3 linked regions of the Kluyveromyces lactis genome follow. The protein of the gene in region 2 binds, or shares a complex with, the protein of the main gene of each other region. Links are inferred from orthologs where the notes say so. Each region holds a gene or a part of one and is shown on either strand. Other genes may lie near its edges. The genes, in order: ISW2, KLLA0_B02090g and DPB4.

Region 1 (4,258 bases), on a different chromosome or scaffold from region 2:
TCTTCTAATGAATTGTAAGTTCTTCTGGTATTGTTGGGAGGATATAATATTTTCAATTCTACTAAGGGATACTGATATTGCTGAAGCTTCTGCTTCAAAATTGTTTCCTGTATCTTTAGCTTTTCAGTCTTCTTTTCACCAGCTTCGATGTTTGCGACATACTTCTCCCATCCTTGGACTTCCTTGTAGCGTTTCCAAAACGTTTCAGAGTACCTCTGAACTTCCTCTGGCGTTTTCGTATGAATTGCTTTGGATATTGAAACATAATTGTCTCTACCAAATTTTATGCATGCACTGATGAAGGCTAAAAATTCACGTTTATTCCAATTATAGAAAGATTCTTCCAGGAATCTTTGCTTTTGTTCCAAATTTTCATCAGTGAATTCTTCAGCAGCGTCAATTTTTGCTTGCTCTTCAGCAATCTTAGCGTCAATATCATCTTCTTGTTTTTGTGCATTGTTAGTATCATCTGATTCTCCGTCCGATCTGGAATCCTCTTCGTCATCATCGTCACCCTCACTTTCATCTGCGTGTTCTTTAACATCATATGCGGTGATTTTGTATCCGACACTTTTCTTATACCAAAGTTGTTCTAGCTCCTGTAGCCGGACAAATTCTGGATGTGCAAACTGATAATAAGTCATACGAATAACTTTAGGTTGTTTTGGTAATTTCAGAGCTGGGGTGTTGCTTCCTGAAGGTTTGCTCTTTCCATTACCTATAACTTCTCTATAATAATCATCCACTGAATACAGAGGCTGTTCTCGTCTACGCTCTCTTTTAGGCGGATTGATCCAATCAACAGTATGATCATCTGGCTTCTTCTTCTCAAAATTTGTTCCATTCCATTCGTAAGCGGATTGATCAGCCATACCATTGAACTTTTGTAGGTCATCGAGACCAAGAGATTCATATTTTGCATTAAGTTCCAATGTCTTTCTCTCACCCTTTTTCAAAATTTCATCAATGTCTTCATCAACAGTTATATTACCAGAGCCATGCTGAAGCATATCTCTTGCTCCAAATTGTATCATATCAATTAGGTCATCTTTGTTGTTCGTCAGCGCCGAAGTCTTCTTTCCTGTACCCTGCTGAATTACCAACTGGTCTAATCTAAGTTTTTGAGCAGCCCTCTCTATCACTTTCTCTTCAATTGCATTTTCGGTGACGAATCTATACACAAACACCTGTTTTTTTTGACCAATCCTATGAGCACGATCCATGGCTTGTAAATCGGCCTGTGGATTCCAATCGGAATCATAGAGTACAACAGTATCGGCTGTCACTAAGTTAATACCCAATCCTCCAGCACGAGTAGTAAGTAAAAAAATAAATTTTTCCGAATTTGGTTTATTATACTCATCAATAGCTTCAACTCTTTCATCATGCGAAGTTGAGCCATCAATTCTGCAGTATTCATATCCCCTGAAATAACAGTAATCTTCTAAAATATCTAGCAACCGTGACATTTGTGAAAATATAAGGACTCTCGAGCCTTGTTCCTTTTTCTTTTTTAGCAATTTATCAAGTACAATCATTTTTCCCGAATTGAAGACTAAATGTTCATCTGTAGTATAAGGAGGGCCAGGTTCTGCTCCTTCGAAAAGGTATGGATGATTGCAACACTTTCTCAACTGCATAACAATATTTAATAATCTTGTTTTACCTTCTCGCTTACCGACGGCTCCATTTACGGCATCGATGTCTTTCTCCAATAGTGATTTGTACCATTCTATTTGCATGTCCGTCATCCCTACGTATAGATTAATCTCTTTCTTCGGAAGTAATGATTTTTCGACCTCAGATTTCACTCTTCTAAGTAAAAAAGGTTGTAAAACCGAATGAAGTTGCTGAACAACAACCTCTTGATCTTCTTCCTTTCCGTTTTGTTGGAACCATTCATCAAATACTTCTGAGTCACCAAAGACATCAGGTAGTAAGAAATTCAAAAGAGCCCAAAGTTCATGCAAATTGTTCTGTAGAGGTGTACCAGTGATTAAGAGACGATTTTTGGAGTAAAACAGTCTTATCACCTGTGACAAGGCGCTCTGTTCATTCTTAATTCGATGAGCTTCGTCGATTAGAATATATTCCCATGCAAATCTTTTAAGTGTTAACTTCTCTTTCAATACCATCTCATAAGAGGTAATTAGCACGTCAAAGTTACATGTTAAAATCTTAGTTTCAATGAGTTCTTTTCTGAAATCCTTGTCACCTTGAAGAATGACTGTTTTGACTTCAGGAGTCCATTTGGCAAACTCTCTTTGCCAGTTATCTAGTGTGGATTTAGGTACAATCACAATATATGGCCCCTCGATACCTTTAATATACCGAAGATAACCTAGGAACGATATTGATTGCAACGTTTTACCAAGTCCCATTTCATCAGCCAAAATCCCAGAAAGCTTGCTTTCATGTAGAGAAATCAACCAATTCAGACCGTAAACTTGATAATCTCTTAATTTCCCTTCCTTTATGAAACTCGGTGATTGTGTCAAAATTGTTGTATCCTCTTCTAACTCAACTTCCTCATCCTCCATCAATTCAGCATCTTCTTCTTGTTCTGTCTTTCTATAGTGCCTTGGAGCCCTAGCGAGATGACCGGCTGGCTCTTTCAACGTTCCAGCAACTTTGTTTTCAGCATCTATGGTCTTCAGTAATTTTTGCATGTTTTTATCATATTTGGCTCTGATCCCAATAAAGTGTCTGAAAAGATCAGTAATTTGCAAAAGGTGCTTGAAGCGAATATAAGTGTCTTCTTTATTCCTTTGTTTAGCTATTTTCGGATCAACATCAAGTAAGAACTTAGATCTTCTTTCGGACCAGTACTTCTCATCATGTTGATTATTGCTAACAGGATTCTCCATTTTTGTAGCAGATTTCTATGAGTATTTTTAGATAAAGGTGGTTAGTATCTTATGCAGAGGTCCGCCCAAGTGTGAAGTTGTTATGTGCTTCTAGTGATTACTGTCATCCTAATACGTTGATAAACTCAACGGGGAGAAGCACCGAAGTTCATGACAGATATTATCAGTAACCATTGAAGTACAGTTGAACATAAAGACATTTAGCATACCTCTTCCTCAACCATTGTAGGCAATGTTGATCGATGATGATAGGATGGCAACAGAGAATTCGATATCCATAGGTTTCTTAGTGGAGTGTGGATAGTCACAACTCATTATTTTTTGGAAATTTACATTTTTTCAAATCGCTAGGACAACAAACCGCGTGGAAAATGATGATAATACATGATCTCAGAACGGACATACCTCAGAGTAGTCTCATTGACTTTAAAGAACAAAGCGTGGCAGAATGTGATTAGCCTTGCATCTACCATTAGTACAAAGCGCAGAATAAGTAGAACATGACCATTTAATATTTACACGATTAAGTTGATATAGATATACATAACTTGTAAGATCACATATGTGATCAAGAACGATATCAAGCGCATACTGATTAAGTGGTTCAGCTGCCTTTTTTAGTACCGATTGTTGCTCTGAATTATACCACTTAGCGAGATTTGGTATGCTCTATAACATGTATTTAGGATTGTCTATTTGGATTTGTGCAACTTCTTCTTCGATTGTTACTCGTATTGGATGTCTGATCATGCTTTTCAGGTTGATTTGTCGATATTTTGGATGTGTTATTTCCACGCATAGATTTATCCGCTGATTTACTTTTGCGTTTACCATTAGATTGTATCGAAGAAGATTTTTTAAGGGAACCAGGCTTCGAAGATGGGATTCCGGTCTCCATTCCCATTAGCATCTCCGACGCCGCTTGTTGGGCTTGTATCCTTTGTGATTCTTCATTCCACCACTTCAAAAATTTTGCTTCCTCCAAAGCTTCCTGAATAGATTTTGTTGGTGTGGGTGTCGTTTCCTTAGCGACCCAGGATAAGTTACTCTTGGTAGAGGCATATAATGGCATAGTTTGCTTCGTACCGTCACCCGAAATTGCGACCATACCTGTTGGCTTTTTCCCGTTTTTCACAGCTTCATGCAACGTTGGAAATTTGGTCGAAGCTGGCTTTACACCTGAAAGATTTTTTACCTCCGAAGATACAGTCACTTTTGTTGATTGTTTGTTTGTTAACGGGGACTTCCTCATATGTTGGCCCCAAACTTTAGTCTTGTCTTCATTTGGCTTCTCCTGGAATTTGGCTTCCTCAGCCATCCGTTTAATTTTCTCTTTTTGAGTTTCCTTCTTTATTTTTATCTTGACGGTACTATTTGACTTGTTAGTCGTT
Region 2 (4,149 bases):
ATACCATGATGTTGAGCCAAATTCAAGAATTCCATGGTCTCCATTTCAAACCCGAAATTACCATCCATCATCAAAAGCACCAAATCGGCCACTTTTGAAATATCGATCATGGAATTCAAATCATCCGCAGGACATTCGATAAAAGTCAGCCTTCTACGCTTACCAGAAACAACAGTAATAGGACCGTTAATTTCGGATAAAGTGGTCTTTGTCAACCTTCTCACTAACGATTTGATCAAAGTAGTCTTACCGGTACCTGGAGGACCAACAACAGCAATAATGATCGGAGGAGGATCATCATCTGGGGTACGATCCACCATCGGAACATGCAACTTCTTCTCATTCTTATCACCCGTACGTTGCATCTGCTTAGCCATTTTCCCCGGAGCGGAGACAGCAAAGGCCTTAGCATTGTGGCCCTGAGAATGTAACTTCTTCTTGGCACCAGCCTTCTCCTTCCGCTTCCTATGTTCTTTATTCGATTGTTCCATTGCTGAAGCTTGAGAGTCTTAAGATGTATTCAGGCAATGTGATTCGAACTAACTGGCCTAAAGTGACCCTTTTGATTCAATTCAAGATACTAGAATCTTTTATGTTCACCGATGAGATGAGATGAGATGGTTGAGCTTCTTCATGCAATTTTTCATGCAGGGTAAGAAAAAGAAATGATCTGAACCTTGTCGATATCTAATCACGTGATTCTGCACGTGATCTGATTTTTAAGAATTTAAGGTATTCTGTCAGTTTTGTAGATATTCCTACATGTCTCTGCCGTAGTAACTAGGGCCCAAGGGCATATGGAAAAAAAAGCGTTCATCGAAATTCGAACATCAAAATGAAATCGAAATCCAATCAAATGCACAAACAGAACAGGATAGAACAAAGGTCAATGAATCAACGGTTGGATTCCGAATAAAAGTCGTTTGTTTCATTCGTTTCCCTAAAAGTTGTTGTGTTTTTTATCTTTAGTTCGTTTGTGTGGTGATTTGGATTTCACAACAAGAACTGTACGTTCTACACCAGTTATATTGTTGTGGATACGAGACAACATCTTTTGGTCATAGAAAACACATACTGTTCTTATTCTTTCCAATCTGTGTGCGTGTAATTTTTACTGAGTTGAAGCAGGAAAGCTAGGATAACAGAGTCTTCAGTGGTGTGTGTTTCCTTGTTGAGCTTTTTATTTTTTGGATAGAATACACAGTGTGAGCAATGGTTTTGTATAAAAGGAAAACGATAACGTTGCCAGATGCTAGGCCATTACCGTCAAATATCAATAGGAAAATATGGTACATTCAAGAGACAGGGGAATGGTTTTTGACTTATGCAGAGTTTTTGCAACGATTGGATTTTTATAGGCGACATTATTTCACCTGTGAGATCACTGGTACATCATGTTTAACTTTTTTTGAAGCGTTGAACAGTGAAGAAGAGCAGTTCCAATACGTTGAGAAAATGTTCCCTTTAAAATTACGTGAACCTGTTGCAAAATTCATCCATTTCAACGAGATTAGAAGGCTAGATATGCTCGTCGAACAGGTATATGCAAGATTTAAAAACGACTATTTCCCTGGAGAAACGGTATACCTACGGAAAAGTAAGCAAGATTCCTCACATGACGATGCTGAAAAACATCATCAGCACTCACATGGATCACAGCATCAAAAAATTTACATTATCAAAGAAAAGGCTCAGTTTAATGCAGTTATAGATAGAGATACAAGGCAAGAATTGGTTCCTGCCCATGCAAAATATATGTTACAGGAAGCACAAGGTAGTACTTCAATCGTTGCCGATGAGGATCAGATTTATCGTGATAGATCATGTTTCACTAAGCATTTGATTAAATGTTTCTGTAAGATAACGTTGCGTCGTGCTTCAACTAAGATGGGTGCCCCATGGTGTGTGAAAGATGAATATTTGCCCATCTATAATTTAACCTTAACGTGGCCAGAAAGTATGCTAAAATACAAGGAAGATTACGTAGATCCGCAGTATTTGCAACAACTTCAACACATGGCGGAACTTAATCGAGAAAGAGAAGCTTCGGCAGCCATTGGTGAGCATAAACGAGAAATTGAAATTGCTAGAACAGAAACACCAGATCAGAAAAGAATAAAAACTGAAGAACTGATATCTGAATCCTCACCTTCGGTTGACCATACCAGTAACGACAATAATCAAATAACCAATGGCGATCAACAAAGCATAACGCAAATCACTGAAGATTTGGAAATACCTTTCATGGCACCAAGGCCTTCAGCTATCAACGATGCACTTTTAAAATACTCTAAGGAGTATGTGCCAATCTCAAATTCTCTCGATAAACCATTTGCGCATGATATTGGTAAACTCCTTCATTGTTATCAGTTTTTAATGGCATTTAATGCGACCCTTCAACTTTCGGAATTTAGTTGGGATGATTTTGTAAATTCTTTGAGATTTACTGATCCGCGCCAAATGATGGACGAGTACGTAACGATTAGTTATGAGGACGGTACGGGTACTAAGGTGGAAAGAATTAATATCTGGAATGAATCGATATATAAATATATTGACTCTTCAAATTCAGAAAAAATGAAGTTCACCTTGTCCTTGGACACTATGATAAATGATGACTATTTGGACGAGTTGAAAATAACAGGTACTTCCTTGATAGTGGAGTGTTTTTGTTCACTGTTAAGGTTGTTCATAGACACCAGTGGGGATTGGACGACATTAGTCCCTTCGGAGTGGCTTGAGGAGGACACGGACGAAAATTCGAGTGAAAATGAAGATTTAGAGATGGAAGAAAACGACGAAGTTAGTGCTGATCTTGAATCGTTATTAGAGAAGTGTTTAAACTATCGAAAAGTAAAATGGACAGACAGGCTTTCTAAGAGGCAATTTAACAATGGTTTCTGGTTGATAGTTCTCTTAGGTGTTCTCCAAGACTTCATGCATTTACCAATGTATAAATCGACAATTCAAGGCTTCATCAAAAATCTGGTGCCGTCTGAGCACACCCCGTCAAATATTTCCTTGAATAGGTACTTATGGAGAAAGTTTTGCAAAGATATTTCTGTTGAGGAGAAAGTTAACATTATGTGGATATTAGTTGAAATATTGAGCAACTACTCATCAATAATAAGATCTGCAATGGATGATTCAATGGAACTTTGTAACCAAATTAGAAGTGAGAGGTTTAGATTGAATAGGGATCTTAAAGCATGTTCTAATACTGTTGCTGGACTAAAAGAACAATTTACAGTTTCTGAGTTGCAACAATCTGAGAGCAGTAATGATAATATCGAACTGAAAGAAAACCTAAAAAAAGCAACAGATCAACTGGAACGGTTCCAAAGGAGGAAAAGCTTTTTTGATGCTAGGTTGATTGAAGCTGATCTTCAAAGACTAAAACCCTTGGGATATGATAGATATGGTAACAAAATCTACTGGTTAGAATATTGCGGAGTTCCTAGGCCGAACATATTCTCGAAGGCTTCACACTTATTAAGCAATAGATTGTGGATCCAAGGACCTGTCAAAGAAGCTGTGCTATACTACTTCAAGATAACGGAAGAAGAGTACAATCAATGGATTTCTTTAGCTAACGAATTGGGTAAAATTCAAGCCACCAAACAGGTTTTCCATGTTTATCGCGATGAGAAAGGTTGTTATTTCCACTACGATAAAGAGGGAGATATCATGTTGATAAATGAAGAAGGTGTTTTCAATACGTTCATTGAACTTTCGCCACTTCAAAGAAAAATTATTGATGAGACACCGGAAGGTCTTTTGTTTACTCCTAATGACTGGATATTCTTGCAAGATCCTGAACAACTCATTTCGATGACTAATTGGTGGGACAGCTGGGGAAAACGAGAACATGAAACACTGAAACAGTTGCAATCAGTTATGGAGCCGGTGATAGAGACATTAAATCAATATAAGACTCAAGTTCAAGACGAAGTTACTGAAAAAAGAGAATTGTTACTGAAAGAGATTGCGGCTTTGGAAATAGCGGATAACGAATTAAGTGTAGATGATACAGTGGACGACAGAGATGAGTCTGATATAGAAGGCGAGTTAGAGAAGATTGCACAAGATATAATGGCTCTTGATGACTCATCTAAGACTCGTAAGATTCTTCTGAAACTGGAGCAACTC
Region 3 (2,527 bases), on a different chromosome or scaffold from region 2:
CCAGCCAAGACCGATAGATCTGTACATGTAACCAGCATCAATCCACCATCTTCGATGGATTGCATTGATGCATCGACGAAAGGAGTAACGGTACCATATGGATCCAAATCAATTACATGGTATTTCTCATTTTTGCTTTTGTTTCTGTACATCAGCACATTTGCATCATCCAAATTGGGTACAACTTTATCCGAGACCTCATTATAGATGACATTTCTCTTTATGGATTCCACTGCCTCTGGTAGTAAATCGTTGGCTACAATAGTCTTCACATTAGGAACCTCCTTAGAATATCTTATAGCACGTAGCCCGGTTGCACTCAATGCTTCCAAAATTTTGATGTACGGCCTGGTAGAATGATCTTTTGAAGACACAGCTACAGAGTCTTGATCTTCGTTTAATTTACGCCTTTTGATAGTATCGTAATCGGAACCATCTTCATTGCTCTCTATGGGTTTCCTTTTCTTGTTCTTGCTCTTCAGTTCACGGCTTTCACGTTGTTCCTCTTGATACAGTTCATCCCATGCTTTGATACAAGTGACACTCAAATCTCTATTGAACTGCTGGATTGGATTATAGAACACAGTTTCCTTGTTAGGAAATAATATCTTAGCATCACCCTCTTGCACCACCTTGAACTGAGAAACATCGATCGTTGAGCTATCCAACGTTACTTTTCTGCCAAATTTTGACTTCAAACTTTGAAAGGCAGCCCTGAGCATATTGCAAGTTTAAATTCTTACTTTTCTTTATATGGTTTTGCTTTCCCTCCTAAAACAAACCAGCTGAAAACGCTTACTTGGCCTTTGACACACACCTCAGCGATTATTTACTAGGCCTGAGGATCAAGCTATATATCTTATCTTAAGTTGATTTCTGCGAGAAGAGATGTGATGAGATGCGATGCCCATGACTGAAAAAATTGAAAAGTTGGAAACTAGGCTGTAAAGATGTAAAAAGTATGGGAATCTATGTCACGTGATTTAATCTTTCTATTGTTTATTTGGCACGTACGATTAAGTACCTCAAGACGAAATGCATATGGTACACATGGTTCAGTATCGATATTAATCGAGGATATGATGACTAGTTCGAAGCAGACTATTAGCTGTTACTACTTCTATCTACTTTTTTTTAGCTTTCATTACTGTTCTCTTGGTGGAAGTAATATCATTATGCTTATAGTGAAATTTGTGCGTTTGCATTAAGATTTATTACCACTAATGATTCAAGAAAATAAGAACCATCAAATGAAAGAATTCACAAAACTCTAAGAGGCAAACAAGCGCGGGTATGCCACCAAAAGGTTGGAGAAAGGATTCTGAAGGAAATTATCCTAATACGTCTTATATAAAAGAACAAGAAAAGATCAGTATTGATGATTTACTATTTCCTAAAAGCATAATCACATCTCTAGCGAAGGAATCACTTCAGAACGCGTTTCAAAAGGGCGAAGAAGAGAGAAGAATCACGGTTAGTAAGGATGCTGCATTGGCAATGCAGAGGTCAGCGACAGTCTTTGTCAATCACTTATTAATGTTTGCTAGAATGAACGCAAAGGATTCTAATAGAAAGAGTTGTAATGATCAGGATATCATGGCTGCTTTAGATACGTTGGGGCTAGGTGCTTTGGAGAGCATACTCACGGGAAAGATGCAGGAGTACCAGGAAGCCATACTTTGGAAGAAGCAAAATAAAGTCAATAATGCTGTGCCTGGTGCGGACGGAGACATAGCAATGGAAGATGATGAAGATGATGAAGATGACGATGGCAGAGAAGGCGCAGATGCTGACGCCGAGCCTAAATCCAGAGCTGATACTGAGGTTCAACAAGGTAACGCTGAAAATGATAAATTAGATGGGCCTCCAGTCAACCAAGAACAAGTACCTAGCACGCGCCAGAACGACCTGGATTTAAGCACAAAAAAACAGAAGACGGAATGATCGTATAATCGATTTGTGGAGAAGAGGTGGCAAGAAGTATAAGTACTATAAACAATTATACCGTTTTCGTGTGCTCATGGGTTACCTATACTTAAAAAAAATAGAACTAATGTAGTAATAATAACGACACAATCACAATAATCGCCAGTACAACTATAATGACAATGGAATAAAACTTAACGTTATTCCACCACATTTTTCTCATAATCTTAGAGGATTTCCTTTGAAATTTAAAACTATTTTCGTTCAATTGATTAGTATTATCCACAAGCAGGGATATCCTTTCCTGTCTCTGTAAAAACTTATCGATATTATCATTCATTATTGCAATAATGTTTTGTAGCTCTTCCTCAGTGGATGCAGCTGTCTGCTGTCCTTCCGTGCGATAAGATAATAATTCTTCATGGAATTTGTCCAATTGATTATCGATATTACTCTTCAAATATTCATCGTTGTCATTATTCAAACATTTTAGTTCTGATAATAACCTCAACGGTAGGAATTTGGGGACTTCTTCTTTAACAAAACAAATGAGCACTTTATTGTTCTCTGCAGTTGTATAATAGCAATCATACCCCTCTAT

What was found.
Region 1: KLLA0_B02090g (region 2) and ISW2 share a complex: the UniProt entries of both Saccharomyces cerevisiae proteins name them as parts of the ISW2 complex. The link is inferred for Kluyveromyces lactis from reciprocal best matches to the Saccharomyces cerevisiae genes ITC1 and ISW2.
Region 3: KLLA0_B02090g (region 2) and DPB4 share a complex: the UniProt entries of both Saccharomyces cerevisiae proteins name them as parts of the ISW2 complex. The link is inferred for Kluyveromyces lactis from reciprocal best matches to the Saccharomyces cerevisiae genes ITC1 and DPB4.

The regions. Positions count from the first base shown.
Region 1 is NC_006042.1:2,310,164-2,314,421, forward strand, and holds the start of ISW2 (DNA translocase), read right to left. Parts: upstream 2,868-4,258; coding exon 1-2,867. Other genes in the region: KLLA0_F24860g (uncharacterized protein), read right to left, coding at 3,550-4,258. UniProt on the Saccharomyces cerevisiae protein: Catalytic component of the ISW2 complex, which acts in remodeling the chromatin by catalyzing an ATP-dependent alteration in the structure of nucleosomal DNA.
Region 2 is NC_006038.1:182,506-186,654, forward strand, and holds the start of KLLA0_B02090g (uncharacterized protein), read left to right. Parts: upstream 1-1,212; coding exon 1,213-4,149. Other genes in the region: GTPase BMS1, read right to left, coding at 1-491. UniProt on the Saccharomyces cerevisiae protein: Functions as a component of the ISW2 complex, which acts in remodeling the chromatin by catalyzing an ATP-dependent alteration in the structure of nucleosomal DNA.
Region 3 is NC_006042.1:1,797,521-1,800,047, forward strand, and holds DPB4 (DNA polymerase epsilon noncatalytic subunit), read left to right. Parts: upstream 1-1,293; coding exon 1,294-1,944; downstream 1,945-2,527. Other genes in the region: TRM1 (tRNA (guanine26-N2)-dimethyltransferase), read right to left, coding at 1-722; NYV1 (Nyv1p), read right to left, coding at 2,051-2,527. UniProt on the Saccharomyces cerevisiae protein: As accessory component of the DNA polymerase epsilon (DNA polymerase II) participates in chromosomal DNA replication.